4 separate regions of the Mus musculus genome follow, and regions 1, 2 and 4 are each reported to be linked to region 3. The links are microRNA targets in miRTarBase. Many come from high-throughput screens and were not tested one by one. Region 3 holds a microRNA gene; each other region holds the end of a gene's coding sequence.

Region 1 (8,267 bases), not on the chromosome of region 3:
AAGACCTGCTGAGACACCCGGCCTTGTGGGCTGAATAACTATGAGATTCATGGACCTTGCATCCCTAGGCAGCCATTGTTAGCAGTAACAGGACCATAGCCCGTAAGTCAGTATAATAAATCTCCTTGCTGTATATAGATTCATTCTCTGTTTGTCTATAGAGAACTCTGACTAATACACACAGCTTCTCAAGATGAAAACTCAAGGGCCTAATTTAAAACTACATCTTCAGGGCAGGGTAGAAGACACCCTGGCTAGACATTGGGAGGCCCTGGGTTCCATCCCCTGCCCCAGGGTTTTGGGGGAAGGAGCACCTTCTAGCTGCAAGTGAGTAACTCTCTACAAAGAGAACTGCAAATTCAAATGTTCAGATTGCCTCCTATGGACAGGGTATATAAATCTGTATTCTCAAAAAGAACAGAGCCAATGGGATGCCGTGTGTGTGTGTGTGTGTGTGTGTGTGTGTGTGTGTACACCTAAAAACACATACACTGTCTTAGTTGCTGTTGTATTGTTGTGAAAAGGCACTAAGAGAAAGCATTTAATTTGGGGGCTTGCTTACAGCCTCAGAGGGTCAGTCCATAATCATCGGGGAGCAGGGGAGCAAGCAGGGATGGTGCTGGAGAAGAAGCTGAGAGCTACATCATAATCAGCAGGCAGCAGGCAGCAGGCAGAGAGAGACACTGGGCCTGGCATGGGTTTTTGAAACCTCGAAGCCCACCCCCAGTGACACACCTTCTCCACCAAGGCCACACTTCATAATCCTTCCCGAACAATTCCACTAACTGGGGACCAAGCATTCAAACCACCGAGCCTATGAGGACCATTCTCACTCAAACCACCACATTCTGTTCCCTGGCCCTCAGTGGCTTATATAATAATGCAGAATGCATTTAGTCCAAGTTCAAAGATCCCCATATAGTCTTTTCACTTCAACGCTGTTTTAAAGTCCAAAGTCTCTTGGGATTCTTGCGATCTTTTAACTGTAACCTCCTATAAAAAACAAAAAGCAAATCGCGTACTTCCAGCATACAGTGGCACAGATTCTACCTTACCATTCCAACAGGGAGGAGGAGGAGCCCTGCGGAGGAGATGCTGGACCAAAGCAAGACTGAAAGCCAGCTGGGCAGACGCCAAATTCTGCAGCCCCATGTCTGATGTCAAAGTGCTCTTCAGGTCTCCAACTCCTTCCAGCTCCGTTGACTGCCGCACACTTCTTTCCCTTGGACTGGTTCCACTCCCTGCTATCAGCTCTTCCTGGCAGGTATCCCACCGCTTTGGCATCTCCAACATTTTGAAGTTTCCAATAAAATCCAAGCTTCGTTTTCACAGCTTCGTGTAATGGCTTCTCTGGGCCTTCATGCAGGGACTCCTGTGCCTCCTTGGCTTTCTATTTAGCCACAGAGGAAGGTTCCAGAGCCCCTTTCCCATATATTCCTTGATAAAGCCAGAACTTCATAAAGTTTTATAGCTGAAGCTGCTAAATTCTGCTGCTTGCTGGTGCTGGACGCTTTCCTTTGTTATTTAAGCCTTAAAAAAAATCCCCCAAGTCTTTTCCTTTGCAGGATTAGCTGGGTGGGTCTTGCCCTGAGGTTACCAATTCCTTTATTCCATTTTAAACCAAGCCTTTTATAAAACTATCCCCTCGAGCACAGAGTTTGGCTCCATTTCCTGATGTTCATTTTTATTTCTCTTTGCCGTGCTCCTCCTTTTCCACGGAGATCTGCAGGAGAGTGCCCACTAGTAACCACGTGATACAGTCAATCCTAGGCTGTCTCGAAATCTCCTCTGCCAAGGACACTAATTTAAAATTCTCCAATAGTGCTCGGGTAGATTTTTTTAAAACAAAGCCAGAAATCAGACACATACATTCTTTGCCAACCCATTATAAGAATGTTCTGTAGGCCACTTGCTATTACTTCTTGCCCTCAGAAACGTCTTGAGGTGCACCTGCAGGGTCCACACCGACCTCGTACTCCTGCCCTCCATGATCCTACTAGGATGCTCCATCAGCCACACTTCCCGCAGCATTCAAGCTAATTCATGCAAAGCACTAAAGCATTCACTTTTCTACTTCAAATTCCCAAAGTCTCCCATATTCTTCCAACAAACAGAATGTCAGGCCTATCACAGCGATGCCACAGATGCCTGCCGTCAACTTCTGTCCTATTGTTCTATTGCTGGAAGGAGGAACCATGACCATACACACACATACAGAGACAGACTGACAGACAGACAGACAGACAGACAGACAGACAGAGAATGGATGATAGATAGGTAGATAGATAGATAGATAGATGATAGATAGATAGATAAGATAGATGATAGATAATGCATAGATGTAGATAGATGGATGATGATTGATATGACATGATAGATCTATTAATAGATCTATTAATCTATCATTTATTAATCAATAGATGATAGATAGATAATAGATTAGAGAGAGACAGACAGAGAGACAGAGAGAGAGAGAAGTAGGTCAGCTTTAGGTAGTAACAGCAGGATCACACCTAAAAGCTGAGAGTCTGGTAGTTACTCAGTCCTAGAGGCCGGTACCTCAGCAGTAGGAGTCCCGCAGTCTCTCTCACTGAAGCAGGACAGGGAATCGGTAGCTTCTCCGTGCACACGACTGGGTACTTCAGCAGGGCCAACCTGTTGCTGGAAACCTGTAAGGTTCCTGGGGAGACACTGGTCCTTAGCCCACAGGGAAGGCCTGGAGACAATGGTTCTGCTGTCTGTGATAGAATTAGCAGCAGCAGCAATGGGCAAATCCACTCAGCCATCAGGGGGAGGCCAAGTGTGCAGATGCAGGTGAGCTTCCTTCTGCAAACCCTTTTATCCAGGCTCTACCAGAAGGTGCTGCTCACAGGCAGGGTAGGTCTTGCCACATCAAGCAGGACGGACACTTCATTCAAAAGAGGCTCCCTAGTCAGGTGATTCTACTTTGTGGCATTAAAATCAACCATAACACAGGGGTTTAGTATATACAATATACAAAAAAAAAAAAAAAAAAAAAAAAAAACAACCTGCAAAACTTAAACACCAAAAATAGTCATTGGATAAACTGGTCAGGGAACGAGAGGGGGGGGGGGAGGAAGGAAGGAAGGAAGGAAGGAAGGAAGGAAGGAAGGAAGGAAGGAAGGAAGGAAGGAAGGAAGGAAGGAAGGAAGGAAGGAAGGAAAAGGAAGGAAGAAAAGAAGAGAGGAAGAAAGAAAAACATAGAGGGTCAATAAATATTTTAAAAAGTTTCCACTTTCCTTGACAATTGAAGAAATGGAAATTAAAGCAATGATCTCAATATTATTGTCTCAGGCAAAGCTAGAACTCAATCTAAAAGCCTATCAGCTGAGGACTGGATGAACAAATGTGGCACCATGGATCCATGCAGTGGAATATTACTCAGCCCTGAAAAGGAACGGAGTGCTGACATATGCTGGAACACAGTTAAGACCTCTGAACATTGTCATCCTACTTGAAGAAAGCCAGCTGCCAATAACTTCTAAGGTATGACTGCAGTTATGTGACATGCTCAGAGCAGGCGTGTCTGTGAGCAGTGACCTAGGGATCATGAGCAGTGAAGGGAAAGGGGGTCGATGGACACGACACTTCTTTTGGGCACAGATTGGGGCGGTGGCTGCAGAAGCCCTGAAAATCACTTTTACATTCAGTAAACTGTATTCGCAGCAGCTGTTTAAAACTCTGTCATCCCAGCACTCTGGGGCCTGAGACAGAAAGCTGGTGTGTTTGTGTAGCCTGGGTTACACAGCAAGACCCTGTTTCAAAGTGGGTGAGGGAGGCAAGTCCATTAAAAATCCTGAGTAAAAACAGAATTAATGATCTTGCATAAACAGGCTCACTGCACACTGACAATCAAGAAGTCCCACAGTGTCCTCCCCAGAAGGCACCCTGCACCAGCCTAGTGCTGGCATCTGCTGTGCCAATACCAGGGTGGGCACTGCTCTGATCCAGAGAGCCTCTCCCAACACCGTGGGCACCTTGAAAGTCCTAAAATTAAGCTATTAACATGTGGAAGGTCTTTATTGAGCAATAATGTTACTAAATCACAGAGATACTTATGAGTTAATTTTCATATAAACAGAAAACAAGAAATCCTCACAACACATGAACTACATGTTAAAGAATGTGTGGGGTCCCACACAAAGCACCCCTCAGATGTTCAGTCCATGTCTGTGGTCCGGGCTTCCTTCACAGACCCCCATATGCAAACGGGGTCCTCGTGATGTCCCTGTATGGAGCTGCAAGTTCTGCTTCTTCACAGTCGGGCCCCTCCCTCTTTGCAATGTGTGTGAGACGAAGAGAAACTGCAGGAGACACTCAGGGCAGCCCACCCAGAGAGAGCAGCTCCCTGAGGCTGAAACCAAGCCTCAGTTTAATGTCCCAAGCACGACACAGAGTTTGTCCCGCAGAAAGCATGCTGGATGGGTGGAGAAAGGAAGGAACAAGAGAGGACAGGCTGGTAGGGGATACAGCAGTGAATCAAAGGAAATAGAATGTATGTGTGAGTGTACATGTGTGTGTGGTTGTGTAGATATGTATATGTATGATATATGTGTGTGTGTCTTAGTTAGGGTTTTCCTGCTGTGAGCAGACACCATGACTAAGGCAAGTCTTATTTAAAAAAATTTTTTTAATTGGGGCTGGCTTACAGGTTCAGAGGTTCAGTCCATTATCATCAAGGTGGGAGCATGGCAGCATCCAGGCAGGCATGGCGCAGGCAGAGCTGAGAGTTCTACATCTTCATCTGAAGGCTGCTACCAGAATACTCGCTTCCAGGCAGCTAGGATGAGGGTCTTAAAGCCAGACACCCACAGTGACACACCTACTCCAACAGGGCCACACCTTCTAAAAGTGCCATTTCCTGGGCCTAGCATATACAAACAATCACAACGTGTGTGTGTGTGTGTGTGTGTGTGTACATACACACACATATATATACAGATAAATGGGTAGAGGAAAGGGGAGAGAGGAAGAGAAGAGGTGAAGGAAAGAGGAGAGAGAGAAAATGAGAGAAGTATGTGTGCACACATGCATGTGTGCATGTATGTAGAAATGAGCAAAGAGCTGCACGCTTTGACAAATATAAGACCCCACAGCATATGTTGCTGAGCATTCAGGGAACATAAAGTGTCGGGCCCACTTTCTCAGGTAGAAATCCTCCCCCGAATGCAGACATCTGGACCCGATGGCACTGAAGGCAACATGGGCAGTACACTGAGCCTAATGCAGTCCAAGGCCCACAGTGGCCACCATCAGGCCCTGGCATGGTTGACATTATCCAGCCCTGGTGTGTGTCCTCAAGGAGCTCAGAAGTGACTGACAAGTCCCCAGAGATGGAACTTGTCTCCCTGAAAACTCCACTGTGGAGCTCTGAGGTTACAACAAGGCTGAATGTACATCATGGATGGGAACCATGGTCCATCTCTGAGCCCATTTCCACTAAGGGGAAGTGTGTTCATTCATTCACAGGGTCCCACGCATCTCCCTCCTATTCTCCTGGGGAGTGGAAGCAATGGTCATTTTAATGAATGACGTTCTAAAGTCCTGCATCTGCCAACAGTTGGCCTGCAAAAGTGGCTCCCATTGAGTATCTGGCTCACCCAAGCACTTCTTCAGACCCTGTTGTTCCGGAGCCTACCAGGGGAGCCAGAGATAACGATCGCCATCCTCAGGACCAGAGACTATTCAGGGCCGTATAAAAACCCTCAGGCTCAGATCCTGGAGAAGCCAGACGGCCCTCTGAGGAGTTAGGTGCCGAGTTCACACCTGACGCGCTTCCTCACACACTTGCGCACAGCGTCGGCCATTCTGTGTCCTCTCCGGTTCTCCAACAGCCCACTCCTGAAATCAGAAGGTAACACTGTGATGAGGTCCTGACGGACAGTGCAGGTCTAGACATAGGACCCGGGGTGAGCTGGCTTGGCTAGCCCCACCCTTCATGCTGAGATTAAAGGCGATAAGTCACGTTTGAACAAACCAGCTAGTGATGCACAGGGGAACATATTTGTCACCGGTGCACATATTTGCTGGATGGACCCGAAGGCCAGCCTGTACAAGATTTAAGTAAGGTCAGAGCAGAGCAGGAGAGCCACGCACCCAGCACCAGTAGATGATGGACACACTCAGCTAACACAAGTCAGAACACCCCAAACAGCTCAGGCTGTACTGGGCATGCCCACCCTTCCCAGGTCATTGTCCCTACAGTACCAAACAACCATTTCTGTGGTGTTCACTGCACTGGGTGCCCAACTCATCCAGAGATGATGTCACGTGTGTGGGAGGGTGAGTGAAACAGGGACACCATTTCACACAGGGGGCTTGGGCATCCAAGGAAGGTCCAGAAACCAACTCCCATAGACACCAAGACACAACTAGACATTGTTGTGTTTGTCTGTTTGTTTATTTGTTATGGGGTCTCCTGTGTTCCAGACTGTCCTTGAATTCTCCACGAAGCTAAAAATGCTCTGATTTTCCTGCCTCTGCCTCTTTTGGGATGGACTCACAGGGGGTACACAAGTACAGCCAGATTCTACAAAGCTTCATGCGTGTGAGGAAGCCGTGTACCAACTGAGCTGCAGACATCCCGAGCCTCGCTTTAAAAGCGTATCCCGTGTGCTAGAGTGAAGCTCCTCGCAGAAGCTACAGGTTACTAAATGAGAACCCAAATGACAGTGTTGGGCTACTTCCCTGTGAGATACAGGACAGGGACGCACCAGAGGCTCCAGAACAGGCCACCGCACTGTGACCAGTTGCCCACCAGAACTACAAGACAAGGTCCTACTGCTGGCTAAAAGACAAAGGGGGATCAAGCTGCAACTGGGGGCTTCTTCCCTTGCTGGTCAGCCCCCATGCTGCGAGAAAGCACAAGCGGCACAGGCTGTCATGGACTGTCCTCGGCACCCATTGTCACTCACAGGTAAGGCAGGACAGAGCCACTGATAGAATTGTCCCAAGTTTGCTACAGCCAAACTTATGGCTGCACGTGAGGCTGGCCCTACAGAGAGAAATCCACACCTTGCAGTGTAAGCCTGCTCGAAAGCCAGTGGCCAGGGTGGGTCGCAGGCCCCCTGTAGGGAAGCAACTACTGTTGCTTTATGAAATGGACATGATGTGCCTGTTAGAGTACCATCGAGTAGCCAAACATGGCAGTGCACACCTCTAATCCCAGCTCCAAGGAGGCAGAGACGGGTGGATCTCTGTGAATTCAAGGCCAAGCTGGTCTATACAGAGAGACCCTGTCTTGAGAAAAGGGAACTTAAAAAATATATTTATTTATATATAAAAATATATTTAATATATACTATATCCCTCCCTGAGGACTTATAGACAGATACTGATTGAAGAAAGAGGTAAGATGTTTTCTTCAGTGGTATAGCAGGAAGAGGTAAGGAGAAGAGAGAGGGTCAATGGGAGGGGGAGGGGGGAATTAGAGGGTAACAGGGCAATGACTGTGGTGAAAATACATTATACACAAGTAGGAAGTGTCATAATAGAACTCAGTGAATATGGTTGATATATGCCAATGTATTTTTTTAAGTTGGCATTCTGCCTTTGAGTGTGCAGCCATACATGCACACACACATACACATACACACACACACACACATTCACAGTCACACACATTCATACACACATTCACACTCACACACATATATACACACACATACATACACACATACACACACACTTATATATACACACACATACACACACATTCATACACATACACACATTCATACACACACATATATACACATTCACACTCACATTCATACACACACACATATACACACATACACACATATATACACACATACACATTCACACACACACATTCATACACACACCACACACACACACATACATACACACATTCATACACACACATATACACACACATACATACACACATACATACATACACATATACCACACACACACATACACACATATGCACAATACACACACACACACACACACACACACACACACACACACACATACACACCCCTTCAAATACTCCAGACTCCAGCTGCTTCCTCTGAAAGGGCCAACTTTTTTCTTTTTACCCATGTACAGCTTTCAAAGACGACCCGAGACTTACGGGACTATCTTCTGCTTCTGTGGAGTCTCCTATCCCAGAAATCACTGCTTAACAGAATGAGCCATGTTCCTTCACACGGACAAGAGTTAGGTTTTAGAGTTGACCCTTTAAGGATTTCAGAGCGATCACCCAGTATGCATAC
Region 2 (4,000 bases), not on the chromosome of region 3:
GGGAGATGTTTCAGTAGATCGCTTGAAGGGTTAAAAACGTAAAGTACCATGCAAAGCCCACATGGGTTCCCAACGTGTATTCCTCCCCCCCCCCCCCCCGCCCCATTCAGAAAGAAACTAGGCCATGGACACTAAGACCCATGCCATGATCTTAACTTGCAAATACTAATTTATGACCCTTTAAAGACTTACTTTTATTATGTGAGACTTACATGTGTGCCTGTGCACCTGAGTGCAGGTGCCCACAGAGGCCCCTGGAGATGGGGTTACCTGAGACTGGGGGCGCTGGGAGCTCCACGTCAGCCTCCTGCAAGGGCAGCATGCACTCCCACCACCGAGCCGTCTCTCCAGCCCCTTAACCTTACACTTAACAATTAAAACTCAAACAAACAGAAACTGTTGCAGAGTACTGATCGTGGGATTATTTGCTTATCCGATGGAGACTGGTATCGCGGCGTGACTTACAGACCGGACCACAGCGGGACCCTGGGAGCTGGGTGAGATTCCTAGGAAGCAGGCCTGATTCAGACTGCTCTCCAGGATTCCTACTTTTTGTTGTTGCATGCTTTGTCTTTAGGGAATAGAAATCTGTATTGTCCCTAAAGAAAGGGAAGATAGATCTAGTGTGGGACTCAGAGCAGGTTTTGGTGACTTGAGAAAGGAACGGCACAGCTTTTCTGTTGTTCAGGCTTAAAGCTTAGAAAGTGTACAGGACCGTCACACCCTGCAACAACCTGGGTTCCAGCTGTCTGCCGGGAAAGATGGGTTGACCTAGGAAAGATGGGTTGACCTAGGAAACCTGGGTTTCTAGTGGAGAAAGTGACCTCAGAAACAAAGCCCACCAACGTGAACCCAGGGCTGCGACTCGCTCACTCCCGCCTCTGTCCCTCGGCTTACAGAAGTCACAGTGCTGCTTGTCTATGTAGGAGAACTATGCTAACATTGCTGGTATCCATCTATCCGCCCTTAATCCAGCCTGTACCCTTACCAATGGCTCAGTGGCCAGCCTGGGCACTAGAAGGGCTCCAAACGAAAGTGTGCCTTAACTTTGACCAGTCTAAGCCCCAGCAAAGGGTCTGCATGCAGGCAGGCCTGAAGGGGGATGTTAAAGAGCACTGCTGCCCCCTTCCGCTGGACCTGCACACACACAGGAGCACGCAGGACTGGGCCAGCCAGCTAGGACAGCACTTTCAACTTCCCCGGAACAATGGCTGGCTCCCTCTGCGTCTTACTGCGTGTCCCTCACTGTGCACCCAATGTGAGGACACCCCTCCTACTCTCGCATTTCCAGAGCTCAGGACCGGCTTCTTCACAGTTACCCTGGATCTCACCTCTACCACCACCATTCCCAAAAAGAAACTGGCCACTCTGACTCTTCCAAGTCTGGTCTCTTAAAAAAAAAAAAAAGTTTCATTTTCTTTCAGTTTCCATGTTGACAGTTTAAAACCAAAATTTATAGAACTCTCCAGTCTGATCACATTTCTAGAGACAGAACATTTGGATGTCAGTGGTAAATCTTACACAAAAGAAATTCTCAACCATAAACTTACAGCACATGAGCCAGCTGAACTCCACCTTAGTTCCAGTTTCTGTGCACTCCTAACACCTCCCACCTGAGCATGTACCCGACACACAATGCCTTAAAAATAATTCACAGATACAAGGGGGGGATTTTGTGCTTTTTTTTTCAAAAACATACTTCATATTTCCTCTTTTATTATATAAATATCAGTTTAACCTTTTGCTGTAAGAATATAAACGTTTTAAGAGGATCTTTGTTATTTATACAAATTCACAAACAGTACAATTAATTGATAAAGGTCTCTGGGTTTCTCCATGGTCTCTCATGTTGCTGTGGAGGACTCTAAAAAAATAAACAAACAAAATATCCAACAAAAATATACATCCTACTCAAAAGCGATTTGTTTTAAAGCCACAGTCCCAACCCCCCACCAAAATAAAGTCATCTATTCCTCCATTTAGAAACAAAAGTTTTCAAACCCACAAGCTCCCGTTTCGAGAACAGAACTCAGACAGGACATGAAGTTCAGCCTCCTCCCTTCATTCACATAGCCTCAGGCTCTCTGCTGACACGGCTCACTCCCCGACAGGACGGGAAGCCTCACTAGCTAACAGCCTCACTAGCTAACCTCTCGGTGGGAAGACTTGCAAGAGGGTTGGGGTGGGGCATAATTTGCATATATAATACTCCTCTTCAAGACTCAAATCTGCATCTCAAACAAACAAACAAAAAGGAAATTCTGCTCTCATTTCTCCCATACATTTGTGCTATAAATTAAATCAATATAGAAACATGGTTGGGTCATCAAAGCCCAATAGACTGGGGGTGGGGTGGGGGGTGGGGTCGTAGCCAGGATGCGGAAGTGGGGCACATTGGGTACAGGGAGGTTGGGAAGAAGCCAAAACCAAAAACAGATACAAACCCAGTGGGCATCTTTCCAGTCTAGGCACAAAAATGTTTCAATCTCAAAATATCTCTCTTGTAGAATTCCAGGGCTTAAGAGAAAAAAGTAAACTAAAACGAGGTAGCCAGACATATATATATATACATACACACACACACACACACATATATATATATATATATATATGAGAATATACTCAGCAGAAAGAAAAAAGAACAATGATTTCAAATTTCTTTGAAAACTAAAAAGGAAGCAGATAAAAAACAAAACAAAAAAACAGAACAAGAACAAAACCAGAACCGAAGTGAGTTGCAGATACCAAAGGGGCAGCGATGAGAGGAGACTGGCTACAAAGTGGATGAGAAGGCTGTTCAAGTCGGGCTTGCTTTCTACACGTTTGGAATTAAAAGCCAGATCACAGTATCCAAATGAAAGTGTAAGTGAAGGCAGGCATCTTTCCTCAACTCCTCGGGGTTGAAACGACTAGTCCCTCCCCGCCCCCACCCCATTTCCAAATGCAGTGCCCCAGGATACAGTTGTCGGTGGCTGAAAGTCTCCATACCCTGCAGAAGAGTGGGCAGAGAAACAGCAGGGTCCATCTCTCCCCTCACTGGGAAAGGAGAGTGGGTAGAGGGAGCAGAACAACTCCAGACGCAGTGGAGAGGGGCGCCAGACTAGGAGAAGAGAGCCCAGGCTTCCGTCATCGCCCCACCGCGGCCACTGCCCTGAACGTGTAAGTGCGCGCGTGAGTGTGCGGAACAGTGGTGGTCCTGGGATGAACAGGGCGGGGCGGGGGAACTGGAACTGCCGCCCTCACCTGACCTTCTCACTGTCCGTCATCTGCCAAAGTCCCAGGTTAAGTACCTTGAGGCAGGGCAGCTGCGTGATGCGCTCCAGGCCGCGCTTGGTGATCCTGGTGCAGCCGTACAGATCTATGCCCGTGAGCTGGCTCAGGTGCTCAGCGATCAGCTCCAGGCCCTTGTCCGTGATGCGCACACACTGTCCAATGTTGAGCGTGCGCAGCCCGTGCATCTGCCGCACCATGCGGTTGATGCCATCGTCACTGATATGGCAAGAGCAAAGGGAGAGGGACTTGAGGCCGTCCAGTCCCTGGGCTATGTACGCCAGACTCTGATCTCCCACCTTGTCACAGAACGACACATCCAGACCGGAAAGGCGCAGGCTGCCCATGGCCAGATGCATGATGCCGGTGTCGCTGATGTTGTCGCAGGAGCGCAGGTTCAGGCTGCGCAGGCTGCCCATGTGCGACAGGTGCAGAAGGCCCGCGTCCGAGATGCCGCCGCAGAAGCTGAGGTTGAGGAGCCGGAGGCCCGTCAGCCCTCGCGAGATGTGCTTCAGGGAAAGATCCGTGAGTTTCTGGCAGTCCTGAAGAGTGAGCTGCTCCAGGCCCAGGCAGCCCTCGGCAGCGCTGCGCGTCATGCCGGCCAGGTGCCCGATGCCCACATCCGAGAGGTGGCGACAGCTGCGGAGATTAAGGCTCTTGAGGCGCTGCAGCCCCCAGGCAATGAGCAGAAGGCCGGTGTTGGTGATGTTGCTGCAGCCCCCCAGCTCCA
Region 3 (8,267 bases):
AATTGTGTGTGCACGTACATGTGTGTATATGATCATACATATAAATACACACACATACAAATGTATTCACACACACAGGCGTGCACACTCACACACATAAGAATGACACTCATTGATCCATTTGAATGATATATGTCTTAGAATTTTGCTGATTATAAAGTAGAGGGACAGTGAAGGTCTCACTCACCAGGTGTAAATAATTGGCAGTGTCAGGAGGATCAGGAGTTCAATTTCATGCTTAACTTCATGAGCAGTTAGAGATCATCCTGGAATAATGTGATGGCCCCTATGTATGTGCCCGTGTGCGTAAGTGCCTGCATGTATATGCGTGTATATTTTATGCATATACATACACACACCTACACACACATGCACACAGACATGCGGAAATGGCCTTCACGGATCCATTTGAATGATATGTGACCTACTGCTTTGGAGGTTATGTATGACTGGGCCAGGGTGAGGTCTCACAAACCACGGGAAAACCCTTGGTAGAGTCGGGAAGATCAGGAGTGCAAGTTCATAGTAAAGGCATGATGAGTTAGAGGTCATCCTGGCATTCATGTGATTGCCCCTACGTATGTGTATATGTGTTGATGTGTGTGTGCATGTACATATGTGAATATGATATACATATACATACACGCACACATAAGACACATATGAGCACACAGACACAGGGGAATGGCACTCGTCAATCCATTTGAATGATAAGTGACTTAGAGTGAAAATGCTTGCTAGAGTTAAGAGTATCAGGAGTTCAAATTTACACTTATCCTCATGAGAGATCAGCCTGTGATTCCTCCATGTATGTGCATGTGTGTATAGTTGTGTGTGCATGTTCATGTCTATATTTGAATATACATAACATACACACACACGTATAAACGCAAGCACACATACACAGACACAGGAATGGCATTCGCCAATCCCTTTGAATGATAAGTGATGTAGAGTTTTAGAGATTATGCAATAGGGGACATTGAATGGACTCACTCACCAGGTGTAAAAGATTGACAAAGTCAGGAGGATAAGGATTGCAAATTCAAGCTTAACTTCATTTGGAGATCATCTTGGTATTAATGTCATGCAACCCATGTATGTGCATGTGTGCTTACTTGTATGTGCATTGTATGTGTTGACATGATATACATAACATAAACACACGTGTTTATGCAAGCACACACACACAGGAAAAAATTGCATTCATTTATACGTTTGAATGACATGTGACTCAAAGTTTTCAAGATTATGAAGTAGTGGGACAGTGAAAGGTTTTACTCATCAGGTGTGAAAGATTGTGGATCAGGAGTTCTAATTCATGCTTTACTTCATGATGACTTAGAGATATGCCTGGGATTCATGTGATGTCCCCTATGTATCCCTATCTGTATCTGTTTCTATTGTGTGTGGATTTGAGTATATGGATGTACCTATCTACACAAATATGTACATGTACACAGACACAAACAGAAACACACACAAAAACATCAGTGCAACTCATCGATCCATTTGAATGACATGTGACTTAGAGTTTTAAGATTTTTCAGTACTGAATGGGGAGAGGTCTCACTCAGTAGGTGAAATCCCTTGACAGAGTCAGGTGGATCAGGAGTTCAAGTTCGTGCTGAATTTCATGATGAGTTCATGATCAGCATGGGATTCATATTATGCCCACCAAAATGTACATGTGTGTATAGTTGTGTGCATATTCACTTCTCTATATGAATATGCATATACACACATGCACACACATTCATAGGAATGGCCAGAGCTATGTCTCAGTTAGGAGGTGAGCACTCTTGCCAGTGTCAGGAGGATGAGGAGTTCAAATTCATGTTTAACTTCATGATGAGTTAGAGTTCAGCATGCGATTCATGTGATGCCCACCAAGAATGTGCATGTGTGTATAGTTGTGTACATATTCACTTCTGTATATGAATATGCATATACTCACATGCAAACATACTCCCACGAATGGCCCGTGCTATGACTCAGTTAGGAGGTGAATACTCTTGCCAGCATCATGAGGATGAGCAGTTCAAATTCATGTTTAACTTTATGATGAGTTAGAGATCAGCCCGGAATTCATGTGATTTTCCCTGTGTTTGTGTTTATGTGTATAGGGAAGTATGCCTGTACATGCGCGTATATGAACATGCATATATATATATATATATATATATATATATATATATATATATATATATACACCCACACAACTAGGGACACATTCATGTGCACACAAACACACATGGCAGTCATCCATTTGATTTATACGTGCTTAGAGTTTCATTGAGTGTATATTCATGGTATAGGGAATAATGTCACTTATCAGATGAAAACCACTTGCCAGAGTTAAAAGTCTCAGGAGTTCAAATTCATGCTAACTTCATAATGAGTTAGAGATCACCCTGTATTTGTGTGATGGATCCTAGGTATGCACAAGTGCATATAATTGTGTGTGCACGTACATGTGTGTATATGATCATACATATAAATACACACACATACAAATGTATTCACACACACAGGCATGCACACTCACACACATAAGAATGACACTCATTGATCCATTTGAATGATTTATGTCTTAGAATTTTGCTGATTATAAAGTAGAGGGACAGTGAATATTCTCACTCACCAGGTGTAAACAATTGTCAGTGTCAGGAGGATCAGGAGTTCAATTTCATGCTTAACTTCATGAGCAGTTAGAGATCATCCTGGAATAATGTGATGGCCCCTATGTATGTGCCTGTGTGCGTAAGTGCCTGCATGTATATGCGTGTATATTTTATGCATATACATACACACACCTACACACACATGCACACAGACATGCGGGAATGGCCCTCACGGATCCATTTGAATGAAATGTGACCTACTGCTTTGGAGGTTATGTATGACTGGGCCAGGGTGAGGTCTCACAAACCACAGGAAAACCCTTGGTAGATTCGAGAAGATCAGGAGTGCAAGTTCATGGTAAAGGCATGATGAGTTAGAGGTCATCCTGGCATTCATGTGATTGCCCCTATGTATGTGTGTATGTGTTGATGTGTGTGTACATGTACATGTGTGAATATGATATACATATACATACACGCACACATAAGACACATATGAGCACACAGACACATGGGAATGGCACTCATCAATCCATTTGAGTGATAAGTGACTTAGAGTGAAAATGCTTGCTAGAGTTAAGAGTATCAGGAGTTCAAATTCATACTTATCCTCATGAGAGATCAGCCTGTGATTCCTCCATGTATGTGCATGTGTGTATAGTTGTGTGTGCATGTTCATGTCTATATTTGAATATACATAACATACACACACACGTATAAACGCAAGCACACATACACAGACACAGGAATGGCATTCGCCAATCCCTTTGAATGATAAGTGATGTAGAGTTTTAGAGATTATGCAATAGGGGGCATTGAATGTCCTCACTCACCAGGTGTAAACGATTGACAAAGTCAGGAGGATAAGGATTGCAAATTCATGCTTAACTTCATTTGGAGACATCTTGGTATTAATGTCATGCAACCCATGTATGTGCATGTGTGCTTACTTGTATGTGCATTGTATGTGTTGACATGATATACATAACATAAACACACGTGTATATGCAAGCACACACACACAGGAAAAAATTGCATTCATTTATACGTTTGAATGATACGTGACTTAAAGTTTTCAAGATTATGCAGTAGTGGGACAGTGAATGGTTTTACTCACCAGGTGTGAAAGATTGTGGATCAGGAGTTCTAATTCATGCTTTACTTCATGATGACTTAGAGATATGCCTGGGATTCATGTGATGCCCCCTATGTATCCCTATCTGTATCTGTTTCTATTGTGTGTGGATTTGAGTATATGGATGTACCTATCTACACAAATATATACATGTACACAGACACAAACAGTAACACACACACAAACATGAATGCAACTCATCGATCCATTTGAATGATATGTGACTTAGAGTTTTAAGATTCCTCATTACTGAATGGGGAGAGGTCTCACTCAGCAGGAGAAATCCCTTGACAGAGTCAGGTGGATCAGGAGTTCAAATTCGTGCTGAATTTTGTGATGAGTTCATGATCAGCATGGGATTCATCTTATGCCCACCAAAAATGTGCATGTGTGTATAGTTGTGTGCATATTCACTTCTCTATATGAATATGCATATACACACATGCACACACATTCATAGGAATGGCCAGAGCTATGTCTCAGTTAGGAGGTGAGCACTCTTGTCAGTGTCAGGATGAGGAATTCAAATTTATGTTTAACTTCATGATGAGTTAGAGTTCAGCATGCGATTCATGTGATGCCCACCAAGAATGTGCATGTGTGTATAGTTGAGTACATATTCACTTCTGTACATGAATATGCATATACTCACATGCAAACATACTCCCACGAATGGCCCGAGCTATGACTTAGTTAGGAGGTGAATACTCTTGCCAGCATCATGAGGATGAGCAATTCAAATTCATGTTTAACTTTATGATGAGTTAGAGATCAGCCCGGAATTCATGTGATTTTCCCTGTGTTTGTGTTTATGTGTATAGGTGAAGTGTGCGTGTACATGCGCGTATATGAACATGCATATATATATATATATATATGTATATATATATATATATATATATATACACACACACACACACACACACACAACTAGGGAAACATACATGTGCACACAAACACACATGGCAGTCATCCTTTTGATTTATACGTGCTTAGAGTTTCATTGAGTGTATATTCATGGTATAGGGAAAAATCTCTCTTATCAGATGAAAACCACTTGCCAGAGTTAGGAGTCTCAGGAGTTCAAATTCATGCTTAACTTCATAATGAGTGAGAGATCACCCTGTTTTTGTGTGATGGACCCTAGGTATGCACAAGTGCATATAATTTTGTGTGCACGTACATGTGTTTATATGATCATACATATAAATACACACACATACAAATGTAGTCACACACACAGGCATGCACACTCACACAAATAAGAATGACACTCATTGATCCATTTGAATGATATATGTCTTAGAATTTTGCTGATTATAAAGTAGGACAGTGAAGGTCTCACTCACCAGGTGTAAACAATTGACAGTGTCAGGAGGATCAGGAGTTCAATTTCATGCTTAACTTCATGAGCAGTTAGAGATCATCCTGGAATAATGTGATGGCCCCTATGTATGTGCCTGTGTGCGTAAGTGCCTGCATGTATATGCGTGTATATTTTATGCATATACATACACACACCTACACACACATGCACACAGACATGCGGGAATGGCCCTCACGGATCCATTTGAATGATATGTGACCTACTGCTTTGGAGGTTATGTATGACTGGCCAGGGTGAGGTCTCACAAACCACGGGAAACCCTTGGTAGAGTCGGGAAGATCAGGAGTGCAAGTTCATGGTAAAGGCATGATGAGTTAGAGGTCATCCTGGCATTCATGTGATTGCCCCTATGAATATGTGTATGTGTTGATGTGTGTGTACATGTACATGTGTGAATATGATATACATATACATACACGCACACATAAGACACATATGAGCACACAGACACATGGGAATGGCACTCATCAATCCATTTGAGTGATAAGTGACTTAGAGTGAAAATGCTTGCTAGAGTTAAGAGTATCAGGAGTTCAAATTCATACTTATCCTCATGAGAGATCAGCCTGTGATTCCTCCATGTATGTGCATGTGTGTATAGTTGTGTGTGCATGTTCATGTCTATATTTGAATATACATAACATACACACACACACGTATAAACGCAAGCACACATACACAGACACAGGAATGGCATTCGCCAATCCCTTTGAATGATAAGTGATGTAGAGTTTTAGAGATTATGCAATAGGGGACATTGAATGGTCTCACCCACCAGGTGTAAAAGATTGACAAAGTCAGGAGGATAAGGATTTCAACTTCATGCTTAATTCAGTTAGAGATCATCCTGGTATTCATGTGAGGCCATCCATGTATGTGCATATGTGTTTACTTGTATATGCATTGCATCTGTTGACATGATATACAAAACATAAACAAACGTGTATATGAAAGCACAGACACAGAGAAAAAAATTGCATTCATTTATACGTTTGAATGATATGCGACTTAAAGTTTTAAAGATTATGCAGTACTGGGACAGTGAACGGTTTTACTCACCAGGTGTGAAAGATTGTGGATCAGGAGTTCTAATTCATGCTTTACTTCATGATGACTTAGAGATATGCCTGGGATTCATGTGATGCCCCCTATGTATCCCTATCTGTATCTGTTTATATTTTGTGTGGATTTGAGTATATGTATGTTCCTATCTACACAAATATATACATGTACACAGACACAAACAGAAACACACACACAAACATCAGTGCAACTCATCGATCCATTTGAATGACGTGTGACTTAGAGTTTTAAGATTCCTCAGTACTGAATGGGGAGAGGTCTCACTCAGCAGGTGAAGTCCCTTGACAGAGTCAGGTGGATCAGGAGTTCAAATTTGTGCTGAATTTCATGATGAGTTCATGATCAGCATGGGATTCATCTTATGCCCACCAAAAATGTGCATGTGTGTATAGTTGTCTGCATATTCACTTCTCTATATGAATATGCATATACACACATGCACACACATTCATAGGAATGGCCAGAGCTATGTCTCAGGAGGTGAGTACTCTTGCCAGTGTCAGGAGGATGAGGAGTTCAAATTCATGTTTAACTTCATGATGAGTTAGAGTTCAGCATGCGATTCATGTGATGCCCACCAAGAATGTGCATGTGTGTATAGTTGTGTACATAATCACTTCTGTATATGAATATGCATATACTCACACGCAAACATACTCCCATGAATGGCCCGAGCTATTAATCAGTTAGGAGGTGAATACTCTTGCCAGCATCATGAGGATGAGTAGTTCAAATTCATGTTTAACTTTATGATGAGTTAGAGATCAGCCGGGAATTCATGTGATTTTCCCTGTGTTTGTGTTTATGTGTATAGGGAAGTATGCCTGTACATGCGCGTATATGAACATGCATATATATATATATATATATATATATATATATATATATATATACACACCCACACAACTAGGGACACATACATGTGCACACATACACACATGGCAGTCATCCATTTGATTTATACGTGCTTATAATTTCATTGAGTGTATATTCATGGTATAGGGAATAATCTCACTTATCAGATGAAAACCACTTGCCAGAGTTAGGAGTCTCAGGAGTTCAAATTCATGCTTAACTTCATAATGAGTTAGAGATCACCCTGTATTTGTGTGATGGATCCTAGGTATGCACAAGTGCATATAATTGTGTGTGCACGTACATGTGTGTATATGATCATACATATAAATACACACACATACAAATGTATTCACACACACAGGCGTGCACACTCACACACATAAGAATGACACTCATTGATCCATTTGAATGATATATGTCTTAGAATTTTGCTGATTATAAAGTAGAGGGACAGTGAAGGTCTCACTCACCAGGTGTAAATAATTGGCAGTGTCAGGAGGATCAGGAGTTCAATTTCATGCTTAACTTCATGAGCAGTTAGAGATCATCCTGGAATAATGTGATGGCCCCTATGTATGTGCCCGTGTGCGTAAGTGCCTGCATGTATATGCGTGTATATTTTATGCATATACATACACACACCTACACACACATGCACACAGACATGCGGAAATGGCCTTCACGGATCCATTTGAATGATATGTGACCTACTGCTTTGGAGGTTATGTATGACTGGGCCAGGGTGAGGTCTCACAAACCACGGGAAAACCCTTGGTAGAGTCGGGAAGATCAGGAGTGCAAGTTCATAGTAAAGGCATGATGAGTTAGAGGTCATCCTGGCATTCATGTGATTGCCCCTACGTATGTGTATATGTGTTGATGTGTGTGTGCATGTACATATGTGAATATGATATACATATACATACACGCACACATAAGACACATATGAGCACACAGACACAGGGGAATGGCACTCGTCAATCCATTTGAATGATAAGTGACTTAGAGTGAAAATGCTTGCTAGAGTTAAGAGTATCAGGAGTTCAAATTTACACTTATCCTCATGAGAGATCAGCCTGTGATTCCTCCATGTATGTGCATGTGTGTATAGTTGTGTGTGCATGTTCATGTCTATATTTGAATATACATAACATACACACACACGTATAAACGCAAGCAC
Region 4 (7,634 bases), not on the chromosome of region 3:
TTTAAATCTTTGTGCAGATACGGTTACCATATGTCCAAAACTTCATATTTCTTGTGTTATGATCCACCTACCATCAAAACCATATTTGAAAGGATTCGAAATTTTGAGTCTCCAAAGGAATATCCAAAATTTTGTGGGGCTTTTGCTATTTTGCATGTACGGGACATAACCACTGGATATGATAGCAGCCAGCCAAATAAGAAATCAGTAAGTACCTTTTCTTTTTACAAACAATGAAGACAATTTAATAACTCAAGTCACCAAAAAAATCTAAAGCTGCAATAAGTTTCACCTAAGATCCAAGCCAGTGTGCTCATGTTTACTTGTTTACAGTGGTTAAGTTTAGAAGCAGCCAGATGGAAGAGACATGCAGGCAAGGTTCTACAAGTGGAGGCCTGGGCAAAACCCCCCAAGCCAGTAGTCCTCAGCCTTCCTAATGCTGCCACCTTTTAATACGGCCTCGTGTTGTGGTGACCCCCAACCGTAAAATTATCTTGTTGCTACTTTGTAACTATAATTTTGCTGCTCTTATGAATCACAATGTAAATATTTGATATGTGAACTCCAAAGGGTTGGAAACCCACAGATTGAGAGCAGCTATTCTCAGCACTGTCCAGGTGTACCACCTTCCTTCCCAGCATTCTGTGTGTTCAGCTAGAAGTTGAAACCCCAGAAAACACCTCTTTAAAGAAACAACTGAGCAAACAAAACCACCACCACCAACAAAAAACTTGTCATAAAAAAAGTGTCATAATTCATGGTATAGTAAAAGAGTGGCCTCTAGTTTCTTGAGGGGAGGACCTGTTGTTTTGTGCCACCAGACTATTTTCAAGGGCACTAACTGGTCTCTGACTTGATACTTATTACTCCCCTAATAATCATCCGTGCTGCTGGCGCAAAGGGAAGTGGGCTTGGAGAAGAGGGACCAACGGAGAAGAGGAAGCGAGGGAGGGAGGGAGGGAGGGAGGGAGTGCGCAGTGAGGGTGAATGATACGGGAACATGAAGTCTAAAGACTTCAGAGCCCTGCTGCAGCTTCCTGATTTTAACATGCTTCCAACCTGGCTCTCCATACCTCTAGTCCAATAAAACTGATTCTTTCTTTCTTTCCTTCTTTCTTTCTTTCTTTCTTTTCTTTTCTTTTCTTTTCTTTTCTTTTCTTTTTTTGTTTGTTTGTTTGTTTGTTTGTTTTTTTGTTTTTTCGAGACAGGGTTTCTCTGTGTAGCCCTGGCTGTCCTGGAGCTCACTCTGTAGACCAGGCTGGCCTCGAACTCAGAAATCCGCCTGCCTCTGCCTCCCAAGTGCTGGGATTAAAAGTGTGCGCCACCACGCCCAGCGAACTGAAGATTTCTTAAACACATATGCATTAGGTTTTTCTGTATTTTGGGTCAACTTGTTTGCCTCAGTTTACCTTTTCTCCTTTCTGCTGTAGGCTCATACCTCACCATTACTTAAGGTTTAATTAAGGCAAGAGCTGATGGTGACAGGGCACTTACCTAGAATGCTTGAGGCTTAAAACTTAAGGCAAATGTTACATCCTCCTTTGGAATTCCAGGTCCCATAATCAGTTTTTACAGAATGAGTGATTGTGTAACCTTTGGGTTGTATATTAGTGTTTTGTTGACGTCTACTTATGTCACTGTTGCATTGCACGTGGCAGGTCCATTTCCTCAGTACCTCTCAATGCTCCCACCTCTGTGGTATATGCTCAACAGACACTTACATGATAAGCTCTTACATTCATTTTATTGTAATTATGATGATAACTGTTAGCTTAAGTTCCATTTGTAATGTTCAAATGTTGTTTCAGTACTCTAATAATGTATTTAATCCATGTTTGCATCTTACCCATTTTAAATAATTTTGGTATTCTTTGAAAATTCCATACATGTATACGACATATTTTGATCTTATCCACCCCCGGTTCCTCATCCCAACTCTCTCTGGGATCCACCAACCCATCTCCCTCAAGACTTTATGTCCTCTTTTTTCATTTAAATTTCAAAACATGTAGTATGCTTATATTATTATATAACAGATTTCTTTAACCTTGATAAATTGAAATTCTGTACTCATTAAACAACTTTACACACCCATCTCCCAACTCTTGGCAATGACCAGTCCACATTGCTTCTGTGACTTAGATACCTTAGCTACTTCCTGCAACTGTGGTATATTTTATAGTTCTTGAAAATGAAGATATAGGTGTAAACTATTGCATTTTGAATAGGTACTGCCTGTGAGTAAAAACAGCCAAATGATTACATTTACCTTCCAAAACGGCTGTGTCGCTACTCTCCGAACAAGTGGGACAGAACCGAAGATAAAGTATTATGCAGAGATGTGTGCATCGCCTGGCCAGAGGTGAGAGTTGATTCTTTTGAATATATATGTAGAAGCTTTATTGAGATATAACTTACATACCGTACAGTTCACACATATCAGTGTAAAATTCAGTGGTTTTTAATATCTCTAGCTGTGTAACCATCACTACAATCAACTTTAGAACATTTTTATAACTCTAAAAAGAGTTCCTTTAGAGGTTCTTTCCAGCCCTAAGCAGGCACTGGTCCACTGTCCTTTTCTAAGTTCTGCTTATGCTGGTTTTTCTTCATGTTTTCAACACTCTGAAAGAGGTAGGGAGGGTTTATTTGGGGTCATGCTTTTTGAGGTTTTGATTCACAGTTGTCTGGACTCAAGACAAGAATGAACATAGTGTCACATGTGGAGGAAGAAGAGATCGGGTAAAACTTTCAAAAGCATAGCCCAGGGGCCTATTTCCGTCAGGTACATTCTACCCCAGATAGCACCGATATCTCAAGATCGCATCTATATCACCTGAGTCTGTAAGGGACTTTTCAGATTTACCCCGTAACAGGACATTTTATTTATAAATGAAAGAAGACATTATGTGGTCTTTAGTGGCTAAAATCATCCTTTGTCCCCAACTATTCCCCTCATTAGTGGACATGCAGGTGATTACTTCTTAAACTATTAGAATGGTGCAATTATGAGCAATTGTGACTGAGTTTGTGTGGTGTATACCTCCATTTTTCTTGGAAATATATGTAGAAGTAGGATTTCTGGGCCCTAAGGTAAATATGTTTTACCTTTTGAGAAACTGCCAGACTCTTTCCCCCAAAGAAGCTATATCGCTGGGAATTGAATATCAAAATTGTAGTGAATTTCTTTTTTGGGAATTCTGAGTTTTAGTATAAAGAAATGATATGTTAAATCTTGTTTTTTGTATCTGCCATGGTTTTGCTTAATCTGCCAGTTCATTTTCTAAAAACATGGGTTCGGTTTGTCACAAATTGTTGATCTTTTTAATGAACATTCCAAAAGTTATTTAATTGATTTTGATTATGTCCTTTTGATTATGTCCTTCACTGACCAGTGAATTTTGGGGACGATTTATCTTTTAATTGTCTTGAGGACACAACTAGGGTGTGTTAGTTTGTATCTCCCTGTGCCCATGTATTTCTCCAGGAGATGAAAAGGACCTCTCATGTTCAGAGCAGAGTTTATAGTTATCCAAATAATTTTAGGTCAAAATGAGGAATTATTAAAGTAATAGAAATGGGTTTGTTTTCTGGCTTGTAAATGGCCGTGAAGGTGGGTACAGAGGCTTCTACAGGAATGTGTGGCCTGCAGCAGTGCTTCAGTGATGATTCACAGGGAATGCCTGTAAGTGTAGAGTGATTTTTTAAAATAAATACCTTATTCGTTTTCTTCTTTTTTTAAGACAAGCTCTCACTATAGAGCCCTGGCTGTCCTCACAATCACAGAGATCACCTGCCTCTGCCTCCCCAGTGAGTGCCAGGACTGCTTTCTGATACCTGAAAGATATTTGTATTGTTCAATGTCTTCTGTACTGAATGTCCTTCAGTATCTCAGAAAGCCATTTTTAATAATACGTGCTATTGGCATTCTGAGCTATTAAATTGATTAACCTAGGAAAATTCATTGGCCACTGTGAACTCACACTCTATCATGGCCGGAAGACATCCGAGTAATGCAGTCCAGTGTTAGCTTGTGACTGTTGTTTTGTGTATGAATTTTTAAAGAGTCTTCTTTGTTTTATTTCAACTGGGTGAATTTCTCTTTTGTTTGCCGATTATTTAGTTGTCCTGTCAGATATGTGCCTTCCTTAAAAGTGGAAATGATTTAAATAAATGTTAAGGCTATAAAAATAAGAATTTTAACTGTTTTTGTCTTTTTTTCCTCAGTGACACTACCTTCCTGGAAGAAGAATTAAAGAAACTCATTGACGCGCTGATAGAGAATTTTCTTGAGCCCAGTAAGAACGCACTGGTCTGGCGCTCTGTGTAGGGCACATCAGTACGTTATGACTCTGCACTGACATATGGAACGAAACCTTCAAGAACTCCACTCAGTGAACCTTGTGTTAGAATTCTCTCATCTGCCAAGTTATCTTTTCCCTTTTCTTTCCTGTGTTCAGCTGGCTAAATAGATTATATACATTTGAAATGAAAATATTTGGATATGAGTCAAATATTTTCATAATCTTAAGTGACAGTCATTACAATGAAAGTGTTCCAGTGGCACGCTGTTCTTCCTGTATCACAAACAGTACAAAAGTGAGTTTTCATATTGAACTGTGCTTAAGCTTAGTTACGTATCTTGTAATTGTGTATAGCATGGTTTAAAAGAAGTCAAACATTATATAACTATAGGGTTAGTTAAGGAAATTACTTCTTAAAGGTGTTTGTGTGTTTGTGGCTGGGAGTACTGTTCCTGCCTGTTTTTCAAATTAGAAACCCAGCTTGGTGGCATATTCCTGCCGTCACAGCCCTTAGGAGGCTGAGGCAGGAGGATCATTAGTAGGAGGATCATTAGTTAGTTTATGGCTAGCCTGGGCTGCACAGTAATTCTTTGTCTAGGAAGGGAGGGAGGGAGGGAGGGAGGGAGGGAGGGAGGGAGGAAGGAAGGAAGGAAGGAAGGAAGGAAGGAAGGAAGGAAGGAAGGAAGGAAGGAAGGAAAAAATGTTTATAGGTTATTTAGGTTTTCTGATTTAGGACAGATGTTACCGTCTGTGGTTTGGCACCAGTGTTTCGGGTGCCCTTGGTGTGGTGTATATTTACTGTATGTATTTAAGACGGATGTTTACTGAACATAAAACAGTAGTGGCAGCACTCCTCATGGCTTTATTCTTGTCAAATTCCTCAGTGCATTCTCAGGGTCTAGTGGGAACTGAAATGATGTTCCTGTGTTGAATATAACACAGTCCATTTTCAGATAGTTAAGGAAAATCTTCCAAACTATATAGGTGCTTCCTCTATAGGAAACAGATTTGTTCACTCTAAAGATGGTTGTAGAAAAAGGTCTTAATAAATTTTGGCTTAATGTAACTGTAGCTGAGTCTTCCTGCTAGGATTCAGTTATCATAACCTATAAGTGAAAAACTCTGTCCTATGGCATCAGCATGGCATTTATTTGGCAGTCTTTTTTAATTACATTTTTATAGCCAGATTTATTTATCTGATAAGGTAATGCTAATTTTAATAAAAAATGAAACATCAAGATATAAGTATTTTCTACAGCCACACTACCTTGATTCAATACCCAATCTCATTCTCATTATCTCAGAAGCTAAACAAGGCTAAGCACGGTGCTTGAATGGGAAATTTTAGGTATTATGAAACACTGAAACTGAAGTTAGAACTAAGGTCAATTTATTTTAGTATGCTCCATCAGGCTTTGGAATTTCTGATCATATAAATACGTTTCATCTTTTTCAATGCGAAACAGTTTTCAGGAAAGTCATTTGTGGTTGACTCTGTAGCCTTCTGAAAAGCCTAATGGAAAAATACTGTCTAAGCTTTCCAAATTATATATTTCCCCAAATAGTTTACAGAATACACACACTACAGTTATGATAACAGTAGCAAGGCCTTCAGGTATAATCATTTAAGAAAAGTTGCCTATAGGAGACAATACTGATGTTAGATGATTAGTTTCCTAAAAATAAATAATATAAAGCCTATACTGATTGGAATATTAATTAAACCATGGTGTGTTTTGTTGCAGCTTGAGGATAATTTTGGTTGAGCTTATATAATCCAAAGATAGGTTTTACATTATGTTGCCACTACTGCTCTGTGTTCCTTCCTTACTGTCTTAGAACTGGGTCCTACATTATATAGATGATAGCTAGTTAATGTTCAGTGCCATTTTCCTGTATGAGTTTATTTTAGAGGCTTTGTGCTAAAAAAAAAGTAGCATGTAGAATTTTTTGTTTTATTTTTAAAACATTTTGTTGGCTTTTAGGAGTGTAAATTGTAATTTAGGAAATAACATGTATTCTACGACGTGGTATAAAAAAACATGCCCATTCAGTTTTAGTGTCTGTGTCTCAGTGGCCCAAGGACAAAATGAAAACTAAAGCAATGTGACAGCCTGTTTATAACAAGAAAGCCACGCCATGATTGCTATTCACTTGTGAAGAGAATATCTTTGCTTCAGTGCTAAACATACAAGAAATAAGTCATCGTCACGTGACGTTACTGACATTTGAGCCCTTATCTTGAAAGGCTACATCCCAGCTGTGTATAAAGGTTCCCAGAGTGTGTAAGTTGAGGAGACCGTTTGATTCTTGTCTACATTCTTGAGTCTGTCTGAGCATGTTTAACATGAACATGACACAGTGGGTGCACAGGTGCCTAACAGGCTAAATTTAATAACAGCTCAAGATAGGCATGCCAGCCTGTGGGTCTCGACCTTGGAATGATAACTGCATTGTTTATCTCATCCCTCTTTTCAGCAATAGCATGGGAATATATTCTCTTTGAGCAAATAAATCAAAATAAGTAATTTCTGGAGTTCTGAGGAAAAGAATTAGGCTGGAACATAGCTCAGTGGTAAAGCACGTACCTAGCATGCAGATGAAGCAAAGCTTACATTTGATCCCTGGCAATACAAAAAGAGAGAAAGTTATTATTGATGAAGCGAAGTCAAATCATAAAGTGGTAATAACCAACAAACAATATATAAAGGCCAGTAATGATGGTATAAAAATGCTGGAGACGTGCAAACATGCACCGTAATGGTGGGTAAACTGTATGCAAGGCTGTTTACTTGTGTTTGTTAGGATGCTCAGACAGCAAGCCTGTATTGTTTTCCTTTAGTGGTGGTCACTGAAAAGAAGCCCACTTCTAGGAGGTGAGGTTCAATTGAACTGTGGGCTCAATTCCTAGTGGGGTGTTGTTTCAGAATCACGTGAGAATGAGAGAAGATAAAGAACAAAATTAAAAGAAACAAAACCAAGATTGGAAAGTATAACCTCTAAGAAAAAGTTCAAGGAATTAGGATTGTTGGACTCTGAAACAAAAAGCTATTGAGTTCATTTACTAAACCATAAATTACTCATTGGGATTTTTGCTAAAGGTATCAAAGTAAGAAGCAGTAGTGGCACCCTGATTATCTCTAGTGAAGACACCACAGGGAATAAGGTTGCAAAAAAAAAAAAAAAAAAAAAAACTAAAAATGGCCGATTCTAAAAACACAAAAAGAAGACCTAGAAGGGAACTAGTTGAAAAGTGAGACAAATGGGTAGGAGAGGGCTAAGAGAAGGATGATGGGGTTACTGTGATCATAATACATTCTATACACATGT

Evidence for each region. The annotated mature microRNA mmu-miR-466b-3p reads AUACAUACACGCACACAUAAGA and lies in region 3 at 3,093-3,114, shown strand. An mRNA with a match to its seed (bases 2 to 7 or 8) in the 3' UTR can be bound and repressed. Matches are read on the target gene's strand: a 7mer-m8 pairs with bases 2 to 8, a 7mer-A1 pairs with bases 2 to 7 and ends in A, and an 8mer does both.
Region 1: miRTarBase lists Fam169b as a target of mmu-miR-466b-3p. Seed matches in the 3' UTR shown: 7mer-m8 at 4,938-4,944.
Region 2: miRTarBase lists Fbxl14 as a target of mmu-miR-466b-3p. Seed matches in the 3' UTR shown: 7mer-m8 at 2,568-2,574.
Region 4: miRTarBase lists Pgm2l1 as a target of mmu-miR-466b-3p. Seed matches in the 3' UTR shown: 7mer-m8 at 5,105-5,111.

Annotation. Positions count from the first base shown.
Region 1 is chr7:68,358,837-68,367,103 of GRCm38, reverse strand. Fam169b (family with sequence similarity 169, member B) reads right to left here. Exons shown (of 9, transcript NM_001374636.1): 9 at 4,023-5,862. The coding sequence ends at 5,782. Among named protein-coding and RNA genes, the nearest start is that of Gm16158, 9.8 kb to the right of the region's middle.
Region 2 is chr6:119,480,302-119,484,301 of GRCm38, reverse strand. Fbxl14 (F-box and leucine-rich repeat protein 14) reads right to left here. Exons shown (of 1, transcript NM_133940.3): 1 at 416-4,000. The coding sequence ends at 3,240. All of the region lies in intron 1 of Wnt5b (wingless-type MMTV integration site family, member 5B), which reads left to right. Among named protein-coding and RNA genes, the nearest start is that of Fbxl14, 2.6 kb to the right of the region's middle.
Region 3 is chr2:10,483,385-10,491,651 of GRCm38, forward strand. It overlaps Mir466b-4 (microRNA 466b-4), which reads left to right and starts at 3,039; the gene lies at 3,039-3,128. The region is part of intron 10 of Sfmbt2 (Scm-like with four mbt domains 2); the gene reads left to right. Mir467a-4 (microRNA 467a-4) reads left to right here and starts at 2,751; the gene lies at 2,751-2,833. Mir669a-7 (microRNA 669a-7) reads left to right here and starts at 3,269; the gene lies at 3,269-3,355. It also overlaps Mir467a-5, Mir466b-5, Mir669p-1, Mir467a-3, Mir466c-2 and Mir669a-6, and 3 more genes.
Region 4 is chr7:100,268,100-100,275,733 of GRCm38, forward strand. It overlaps Pgm2l1 (phosphoglucomutase 2-like 1), which reads left to right. Exons shown (of 14, transcript NM_027629.3): 12 at 18-207; 13 at 2,229-2,362; 14 at 4,228-7,634. The coding sequence ends at 4,330. Among named protein-coding and RNA genes, the nearest start is that of P4ha3, 14 kb to the right of the region's middle.